2 linked regions of the Yarrowia lipolytica genome follow. The protein of the gene in region 1 purifies or fractionates together with the protein of each later gene. This does not show direct contact. Links are inferred from orthologs where the notes say so. Each region holds a gene or a part of one and is shown on either strand. Other genes may lie near its edges. The genes, in order: YALI1_A09626g and YALI1_D23274g.

Region 1 (4,124 bases):
ATCATGAGACCAGTGTAAAGCTGGGAGGAAGTAAGAGTCGTGAAGCCAAGGTTGAGGTCAGATCCTCCAAGAAACGAAATTCCGTACAGACCAAGGAAAACAAAACCGATAACAAACAGCAGCAGCCAGTTGGTGAGGAGAGAATAGAGAGAAAGGAGACCGAAAATGATGGCATAGTTGGTGCTGAAGTATCCCAGGTTGAAGTTGATTCGAGCTTGAGCTTCGCCCCAGGTCGGGGGCTTGGAAATTCGTCGGAAATCGAAGAAGTCGGTGGGGGACTTGAGATTGGCAAATCGGTTCTGGAGATTCGCGCCCTCAGTCTGTGTTAGTCCAAAGCTCAGAAAGCGCAGATCCAGAGAATTCCCTTCGCCTCCATATGCTCGCGGGTGATGGTACCTCAGAGTACTAGAGGCACACCAATGTTTTCAATAACGTGAGACACGTAGGGGTCGCTATCATCGCGCTGGCTCAAGGACGTGTTCGATGGTCGCTCACAGTCGCGCACCCTCTAGACTTCTTCACGTCACTGAGGATTCTCAGGTTTAGCGCCATATGCTTAAGTGCGTCACATTCTGCTTACAACAAAGAGTCGAGCACGGGATGACCATCTTCGTCTCACAGTCCACACAGATTTGGGCAAGCCTCATCACGGTGGATTACGGTCGCGTTGTGAGACAAATTTCAACAGCATTGAACGTACATCAATAACGCTTCCGTTTATTCTCAATACCATCTCTTTTTGAGACTTCGCGATAGTCTCGTATTAATTTCACCATGCCCATCTCCTTGATGATACTCACTCTTAGTCGCTCGAGGTTGAACCGTTCAGACAGGCCAGACAGCTGTAGTTAGTAAAAGTTGGGATGCGAAAACGCAGGGGTCTCATACTTACTGAGCTGGATCCCATAGATGTGATAGCGTCCATTGTTGTTGTTGTTGTTTTCGGTGAACACCAAAGAGCCGGTTCAGTATCAACGAATTTGTGGGAACAGTGTTTTTTTATGCATCCCACACGATAGCCTACGTGTCCGTGTTTGGGTTAGGGTTACGTTTCCGGTATGTGAGTCACGTGATGGACAAACACAACTCTTGCAAGTACAGTACTGTACTTGTACGCGTGCACAGGACATACTGTACGATACCTATTTTGTAGTCTCAGGGGCGATGTATGTCAGGCTGTGAGATTCTCTGTAGAAGTGGCAAAATCTGCATTATCTTCATGACCACCGTGCTAAAAGACAGAAAAATTATGCGACCGCTGCTTTAGACCACGTTCCAATTACTGTACTCGTACAAGTAGAAGTACATACATACTGTACAAGTACATACTACATACTATACTCGTACTTATAAGTACAGTGTAGAATGGCTCTTGTCCAAGCCTCTGGGACGTCCCACTTAATGCTGCTGCTATACAGTATGTATTGTACAATACAAGAACAAAATGATCTTCAATAACTTGTACTTTTTTTTGGTTTTTTATACTTGTACTGTGCGATAGTTGTACGATAGCTACAAGTGTACCAAAGTTGCTACTAAATACTGTACTTCGCGTGCATGAATGGACTGCACGTGGTATGGGATGACTAATATGTTAGTGTTCTTAATATCGGTGCCATCTTCATGGGATTGTAAGCTAAGGGCGTGCCCAGAGAGGTCACTGAAGGGGTAATTCGGAATTATTCTACAAATTTCGTTATAATAGCACAATCATTTATCCCATAAATTTGGTTTGGGTACGGGTTACCCTGTCGTAAACGTCGGCATAATAAATAACTGTACGTTCAAGTACTGTGGCACAACGATAAGAAGAACTTCGTATCGAGCGATAGGAGCCATGGTAACAGATTATGTAGTATACCGATGAGGTGCCATATCGTAGCTCTTCAACATCCTAAAGCCCAAAGCTCTTAAAGCCTCACCTAGTACTTGTTGTTTGAACTTCGGTACATGTACTGGCTCGAATGTCAAAAACACTGTGATGCCTTAAAACCTGTATTTACGCCACCTGCAGTGTTACATAATCAACGACACTTTTCATTATACTTTTAGAGAGCTTGAAGAAGTGCACACCACACCAGTCATCCAACACAACTACTAATCAATTTATTACCTCTCCATCGCAGCATGTCATTTGTATACTACAAATTCAAGTCGCAGAAGGAGCCGTCCAAGGTCGTATTTGACGGCACATCCATCTCTGTGTTTGATCTGAAGCGTGAAATTATCACTTCTAACAAGCTGGACAAATCTGCGGATCAGTTTGATCTAGCTATTGTCAATCCCGATACGAAGGATGAATACAGAGACGACAACGAGCTGATTGCCAGATCTTCTTCCGTACTGGCACGACGACTGCCCTCTCGACCAGGCAAGGGCGAGGCCGCTAGGTACGTCAACGGAGCGCCTCCAGTCACACGCTACAGACGAGACGATCAAGAAGTAGTGCAACCAACATCAGCAACACCAGGATCTACTGGCACTGGAGGAGCCGAAGATGATCTCATCAATGCTATGTTTGCTGCTCAGGGAGAACAGTGGAAGGAAACACAGAAGCAAATGGCCTACCAAACCCCTGTCTACAACCGACCCTCTTCTTCTGGAAAGCCTCTTTCTGCCAACTCCAACAACCCCCAGGCAGCAGCTGCTCAGGCCCAGTATGGAGATACTCCGCCGGAAGGATACATGTGCCATAAGTGCGGTAAGAAGGACCATTTCATTTGGAACTGCCCCACCAACAACGATCCCAACTGGGAGGGAATGCGAATGCGGCGAACCACCGGTATTCCCAAGTCATTTCTCAAGACTATTGCTAAGCCCAACCTCAACGAGGACGATCTTGATGGTAAGTCTGCTGTCTTGATCAATGAGGATGGCGAATATGTGGTGCAGGTAGCAGATCAGAAGTCATGGGAAAAGCAAAAGGCTCGTGCTCGACATGCAGTTGAAGATACCAAGGCTAAACGAAAGGCTGATATCGATCCCGAACTGGTATGCCCTCTAAGCAAGAAACTGTTTGACCACCCGGTCACAACTCCTTGCTGCAAGACCACGTACTCAGAAGATGCCATTCAACAGGCACTGTTGGATGGTGACTTTGTTTGCCCCAAGTGTGGTGCTGAGGAAATTCTGTTGGACCAGCTTCACCCCGACAAGGAAATGGAGAAGAGAGTGAAAGAGCATATTAAGAAAGAGCAAAAGAAGGAAGAGCCCGATGCAAAGCGAACCAAAACCGAGGATGGTTCTGCTGTTTCCCAGGCTGGTTCCTCGGCTCCTCCCAATGCACCAACAGGACCCGCAGGAATGCCCCAGATGCCTTTCATCCCTCCACAGATGATGCCATTCTTCATGAAGCAGATGGAGCAGATGCGAAAGATGGGTATGCCTGTGCCACCAATGCCCAATATGCCCATGGGTGGTGCTTCTGGCGGCCAGACGTTTGTGGCTAACCCCAATGGAGTCACCAATGGCCAGTTCATGGACAAGGGTGCGAGACGACAGCAGATGAACCAGAAGAGAAGATACGATGACCGTCGATGATCTTCAAAACAGCATTGTTTTGTATATTGCATGTAATTTATATGGAGTTTTGGGTTATTCTAGTCAAGGAACCCTTACTTGTTGTAGTGTGTATCAATTATGTGTGGATTGCGATGTTGGTGGGCAAGGGAGGTGGCCTGTGGCCGAGATATAAATATAATATAATCGTGTGCGTGTTTGTTGTGCGTATTTCCTAGTGAACACTAGGGAGCCAGTTGGCTTAGTATGTACGTCAAATGGGATGCCTCCTACAGTGATACCCGCGTCGGTGTGTCAGGAGTTCATACGACCCAATGACCTCGTAATGCGGATATTTCGTATACAGTTGACATACGATACGAATACATACCCGTCCTATACACCATCGGTACGTTCTTGTAACTGTACCATACAGTATGTACTCGTATAACTATGAATACAATTGCAGTGCACCGGTACTTCTTAGCTTCTCCGAACTACAAGTCAATCAATTGTCAAAAATCCCTCACTCGGGGTTGTCTATAATCTATAATACTTCTATAACTTGTTTACTGCTTCTTACCGTCGTTGAATTCGATGACGGCGTACTTGCCAGACCAGCACCA
Region 2 (5,163 bases), on another chromosome or scaffold:
GCTGGAGGAGGAGCATTTGCAGTGGCATTTCTGTGCTGCTACTGGAGGCTCGGAGAGGGTCAGAAGTTGTCCGTGTAACTTCATTATATACATTATGTACTGAGTGGATCTAGAAGTACGTACTTCACGTAGATGCACTATGCTGATTAATACCACCCCAAAATCTGCTTCAAATGGTAAATCCATAAAGGAGCATCCTTTCCTAGCGGTCCCTCCACCTTGAGGTCCTTGTTGCCAATCTTCTCAACGAACACGTCCTCGTACTGCAACAGAGCGGGAAACTTGCTCTTCAGCAACCCGGCCACAGCACAGTCAGGCAGCGCAGGCAGCATTTGAAGCTGCAGATGAGCACACAGAAACACATCTGACGTGGAAACCGTGCTGAACAGACTTCCTTTGGCGACATTTGCTGTGGCAGTATCCATCATGTCGGTGTAAATTTCTGTGGCCGAGTTGAGCAGTCGGAAAACCGTCTTGGAAACGGCCTTGGAGGCGTCTTTCTGCTTTTCACGCTCAACAGACTGATCGTAGAGCTTACCCATGCTGGGCTTGGGGTTGGTGAGAGACTCGGACGCCATCTTGGTTGCCGAAACAGCCCACGAGGGCGTCGCCGTGTCGATTCCAGCGGCACAGCATCGGTCCTTGGCCTGTTCTCGAAGTCGTACACTGACATTGTATTGCATTAGGAAAGGCATGAACTCGTTGAACATGGGCCGGGTCACCTTCTGGTACGCCTCTTCGTCCACAAACAGACAGTACTCTGTGATTGTCTGCAGACTGCTCATGTAGGCCAGGAGAGCTGTGTTTTTGATTTGTTCGTCCGAGGTCAGATCGGCGTCGAGGTTGTGTCCCAGCGACTTGAGGTATCGAATGATGGACTCGGCGCCTCCGATCTTTTTCTCCGACGTCTCCAGACACGGCAGCTCGCCCGCCAGACCTTCATTGGACGACTGCACTACCGTGAAGTCGATATCACATAGCTGCATGTACCAGATGGTGGCGAGACAGGGGGCGGAAAAGGTCAGGGAGGTGGACACGGGGCCCCAGACGTGCAGACGGAACATGATTTTCGGGGAGAGAATGAGAATGCGGTTGTAGACTGTTCTTTCTAAGAGGTTATGAGCATATCACCCAGTTTGTGAGTACAGTACACTCGGTTTGTGAGTGTGTAGGCGCGTTTGTGTTGGATGAAGAGGTGAATCAATAACGAGGGAGCTGTTCCGACGATGGTCAGCTGGTTGTATCTGTGTCTATCGCTGGTCTGTCGACTCCGTCAAGACTACAGCATGTACTACTTTTCATATATCGTAGGAGGTGGGTGGGTGGATGCGTGTGTTCGATTCGGGGTGGGGCAGAATAATGAAATTAATAAATATCTTCGGAAGAACGGATAAGTGGGACGTGGTGGCAAGGGTTTGTGCATAAAGTAGTGTTTTAGAAGACTGGTTGGTCGCTTCTAGTGCAATGGAGACCGTGACTGGGGAGATGCGGGGGGCGGGCTCCCCATGGAGGGCAGTGGAGATGGTACTTGTTCAAATATGCGATTTAACTGGTTGAAATGACACTTATTAAAACCATTTTTTTCTCATACGCATAGGCAGCTCTCATAAATGGAGGGGATGCTTTTTCACCTTCCAGCACTCACCGAAAGTCCCCGATCGAAGGGGTTCTGGAGTCGCAGCTATTACTTGGGAGTTTCAACTAACTTTGGGGGGTTTGTTAGGTGTTTACAAGGGATAGCAACGTTCCAGAGACTCGATCCAACTCGGTCTATAGTTATCCGATTGATTAGCTGAAAGTGCCAGTTGTATTCTAATAGCCCCAAAAACAGAATCCATGGCCCCTAATCAGCCTTATACCACCAGCAAACGCTCGTTAATGCCACCTCCCATTTTTCACCGCCGCCACACACAACCACCAACCTAAATCCGCATACACTACTTGCAGCACTTTTCAGACCCTGTCACTCCTCAACATGTCTGACGATTACGATCCTACGGCCGTGGCGTTCAAGCCGGGCGACATGGAGACGGATATGAACACTGGCGAGCCGCTGGCGCTCGAGGCCGAGGCTGCTGCCAAGGACCCGGCACATAATGAAGAAAGTGGTGAAGATACAAACGCAAACGTCGAGTCGGGGACCCTGGTGCACCAGGGCGACGAACCTGAATCGATTGACAAGGAGGACAAGGTGGAGGATGGACCAGACACAAAGAGCGATGGAGGAGTGTTAGACGAGCCCAAGGATGGGGAGCAGAGGGATGATGAGAAAAGGGAAGAACCCAAGCCTGAGAACTCGTCTGAAGAAGTCGCGGAAGATGACGACTATGTGCCTGCAGCGGTGAGTGAGCCTGTGGAGGAGGACTCGGCTGGAGGAGGGTCGGTTGGAGGAACCGGAATCCCTGATGGAGCTATCAGTTCTTTGGCTGCAAGCACTACCATCCCCCCTCCCAGCGACCCCAACCAAGTGGGAGGAGGAGCCAGCTCCACCAGCAACAACAACAACAGCGGCCCAGATAACAACAAGCGAAAACGACTGGCCACAGACACAATCGGCATTCTTGAGGACCGCATCGCCGCCAACCCCCGAGACATGCCTGCGTGGCTGGATCTGATTTCGACGATTGTGCGCAAGGAGAAGCTGGACGAGTCGCGGGACATTTACGAGCGGTTTCTGGCTCTGTACCCGCTGTCGGCCGAGATTTGGATCGAGTACATCACGCTGGAAATGGACAATGGCGAGTTCAAGCGCCTGGAGCAGCTGTTTGGGCGGTGTCTGACCCGCCTGCCCAACCTCAAGCTGTGGAACATCTACCTGACTTATGTGCGGCGAGTCAACGTGCTGTCTTCCGAGTCGGACAAAATCACTGAAGCCCGAACAAACATCATCAAGGCCTTTGAGTTTTACCTTGACCATGTCGGCATTGATCGAGAGAGTGGCAATGTGTGGTTTGAGTACCTGGACTTCATCAAATCCAAGCCGGCTACAACTACCTGGGAGGAGCAGCAGAAGAATGACCTCACGCGCAAAATATACCGAAAGGCGATTGGCATCCCGCTCAACAACCTGTCGATTCTGTGGACCGCCTACACCAACTTTGAGTACTCGCTCAACAAGGCCACAGCTCGAAAGTTCATCAATGAAAAGTCTGGCAGCTGCCAAAACGCCCGACAGTGCCAGACGGTGCTGGAGAACCTGATGCGGGGTCTGGACCGAAGCAGTGTGCCCAAGTCCGGGCCCAGAGACGAGTTCCAGGTGCGAGCTTGGAAGAAATGGATCGACTGGGAGAAGAGCAACCCTCTGGGTACCGACAACAAGGCCGAAACCAACAAGCGGCTGCTGTACTGCCTCAAACAGGCCGTTATGAGCTTGCAGTTTGTGCCCGAGATTTGGTTTCTGGCTGCTGAGTACTGTTTTGACGACCCTCTGCTCAAGACCGAGGCTCTGCAGTTTCTCAAGGATGGCCTCTCTCTCAACCCCAACTCATCGCTGCTGGCTTTCCGGCTCGCCGAGTACTACGAGCGGGAAGCCGATGCTGAAAAGATGCGAACCATTTACGATGAGCATATTGAGTCTCTGGGCAAGGAGAGACAGGCTCTAATTGAAGCTCAGGGCGATCCGGAGGCCGAGCCTACTGCTGAGATCATCAAGCTCAACACCCAGATCTCCATTGCGTACTCGGTGTGCATGAAGGCCGTGAAACGGTTTGAGGGTATCAAGCCAGGCCGAATGGTGTTCAAAAAGGCCAGAAACACTGGGTTTGCCACCTACCACATTTACGTCGCGTCTGCGCTGATGGAGTTTCACCACAACAAGAACCCCACGGTTGCCACCAACGTGTTTGAGCTTGGTCTCAAGTACTGCGGTTCCAATGCAGCCTACGTTCAGCATTATCTCGACTTTCTCATTTCTCTGCACGACGACACCAACGCACGGGCTCTGTTTGAGAAAACCATTCCTCTTCTAGGTCCGTCGGACGCTGCTTCGCTCATCAAGTCGATGATCAAGTTTGAGTCTGACTTTGGCGAGATCACCAGTGTGGTCAAGCTGCAGGACCGTCTGCGGCAGCTCAACCCCGACACGTCGCCCATCACCATCATTGCCGACCGGTTCGCTACCTCGGACTTTGATGTCATTCGACAATGCGACATGCTGCAAAAGCCCAAGTCGCGAACCGACGAAGATTCTGACTCGGAGCGGCCCAGCAAGAGAGCTCGCCGAACCTCTCACGGAAACGACCAGGGCGACAAGATGGAACCTTTCAACCTGCCTCAGAAGATTGATGCTTTGCTAAGGCAGCTTCCCAACTCTTCTGACTATGGAGAGGCTACGTTTGATCCTCAGCGGCTGGTGGATTTGTTTAGGGACGTGAGAATTCCGGACGGACTTCTTTAGCGGGTGGATGCTGGTGAGCACAAGGACCCACAAAGAGCAAAAGGAGGGGGACTGAAGAACTCGAGTCTTGTGCTTCAGCAAACAATGTCTGGATTGTTATATGGTTGTATGAGGGAGCGAGGGGTAGGCATATAATTGTCAATGTATTGTAGAGTAAGTACCATATTGATGGATAACAGTAGTTTAATGTGGCATCAATTGCAACTAAGACAATAGTCCTCAGTCAGCATCGCCACATTTCTCCTTAAAGCAATCTACCACGCCATCCCGTAAGACAGCGAAGACTTTGTAAGACACACGAACCGCGGCCGGTGAAGGTTGCTGCTGTGAGTGTTTAACACGCGCTCTTTAGCCCTTCAGGGTGTAAAAGAAGCCGTCTCTTTTGGAGTCAGTTTTGGCCGTGATCCAAAAGAGAGTGTAAATGTGTGTCTTTTCGGCACAAGAGCCGTCTCCGACGTTTAGCGGAGCTATCGACGCACCGGGCGGCGTTTCCAGTCGCTATCTCATGCATCGCTTCATTTCCGGCATGTATGGGATATAAAAAGCACACATTGCCGGTGGCTCTCTGTCAACCTTGAGTTATATGAAAAACTTTGAGCGAATTTCGGGGATTTGGGACGGCGACATCTGGGGGTTTGGGGGTTCTAAAGGGTCAGAAAAAGAAGGAAATCGAATCTTCTTGCTGAGGAGATTCGATTAAATCCTCTCCCGTAGTTCTGGTACGTCTGAAGCCTCTCCGAGTGCGGGACCAAGACCATCTCCCTCAC

What was found.
Region 2: the proteins of YALI1_A09626g (region 1) and YALI1_D23274g purify together in Saccharomyces cerevisiae (affinity purification with mass spectrometry; 3 studies listed by BioGRID, with this or other methods). This does not show direct contact. The link is inferred for Yarrowia lipolytica from reciprocal best matches to the Saccharomyces cerevisiae genes MPE1 and RNA14.

What each region holds. Positions count from the first base shown.
Region 1 is NC_090770.1:960,618-964,741, reverse strand, and holds YALI1_A09626g (uncharacterized protein), read left to right. Parts: upstream 1-2,127; coding exon 2,128-3,540; downstream 3,541-4,124. Other genes in the region: YALI1_A09638g (uncharacterized protein), read right to left, coding at 1-320, 801-842, 893-925; YALI1_A09593g (uncharacterized protein), read right to left, coding at 4,068-4,124. UniProt on the Saccharomyces cerevisiae protein: Component of the cleavage and polyadenylation factor (CPF) complex, which plays a key role in polyadenylation-dependent pre-mRNA 3'-end formation and cooperates with cleavage factors including the CFIA complex and NAB4/CFIB.
Region 2 is NC_090773.1:2,325,454-2,330,616, forward strand, and holds YALI1_D23274g (uncharacterized protein), read left to right. Parts: upstream 1-1,975; coding exon 1,976-4,396; downstream 4,397-5,163. Other genes in the region: YALI1_D23237g (uncharacterized protein), read left to right, coding at 1-78; YALI1_D23265g (uncharacterized protein), read right to left, coding at 147-1,064. UniProt on the Saccharomyces cerevisiae protein: Component of the cleavage factor IA (CFIA) complex, which is involved in the endonucleolytic cleavage during polyadenylation-dependent pre-mRNA 3'-end formation and cooperates with the cleavage factor NAB4/CFIB and the cleavage and polyadenylation factor (CPF) complex.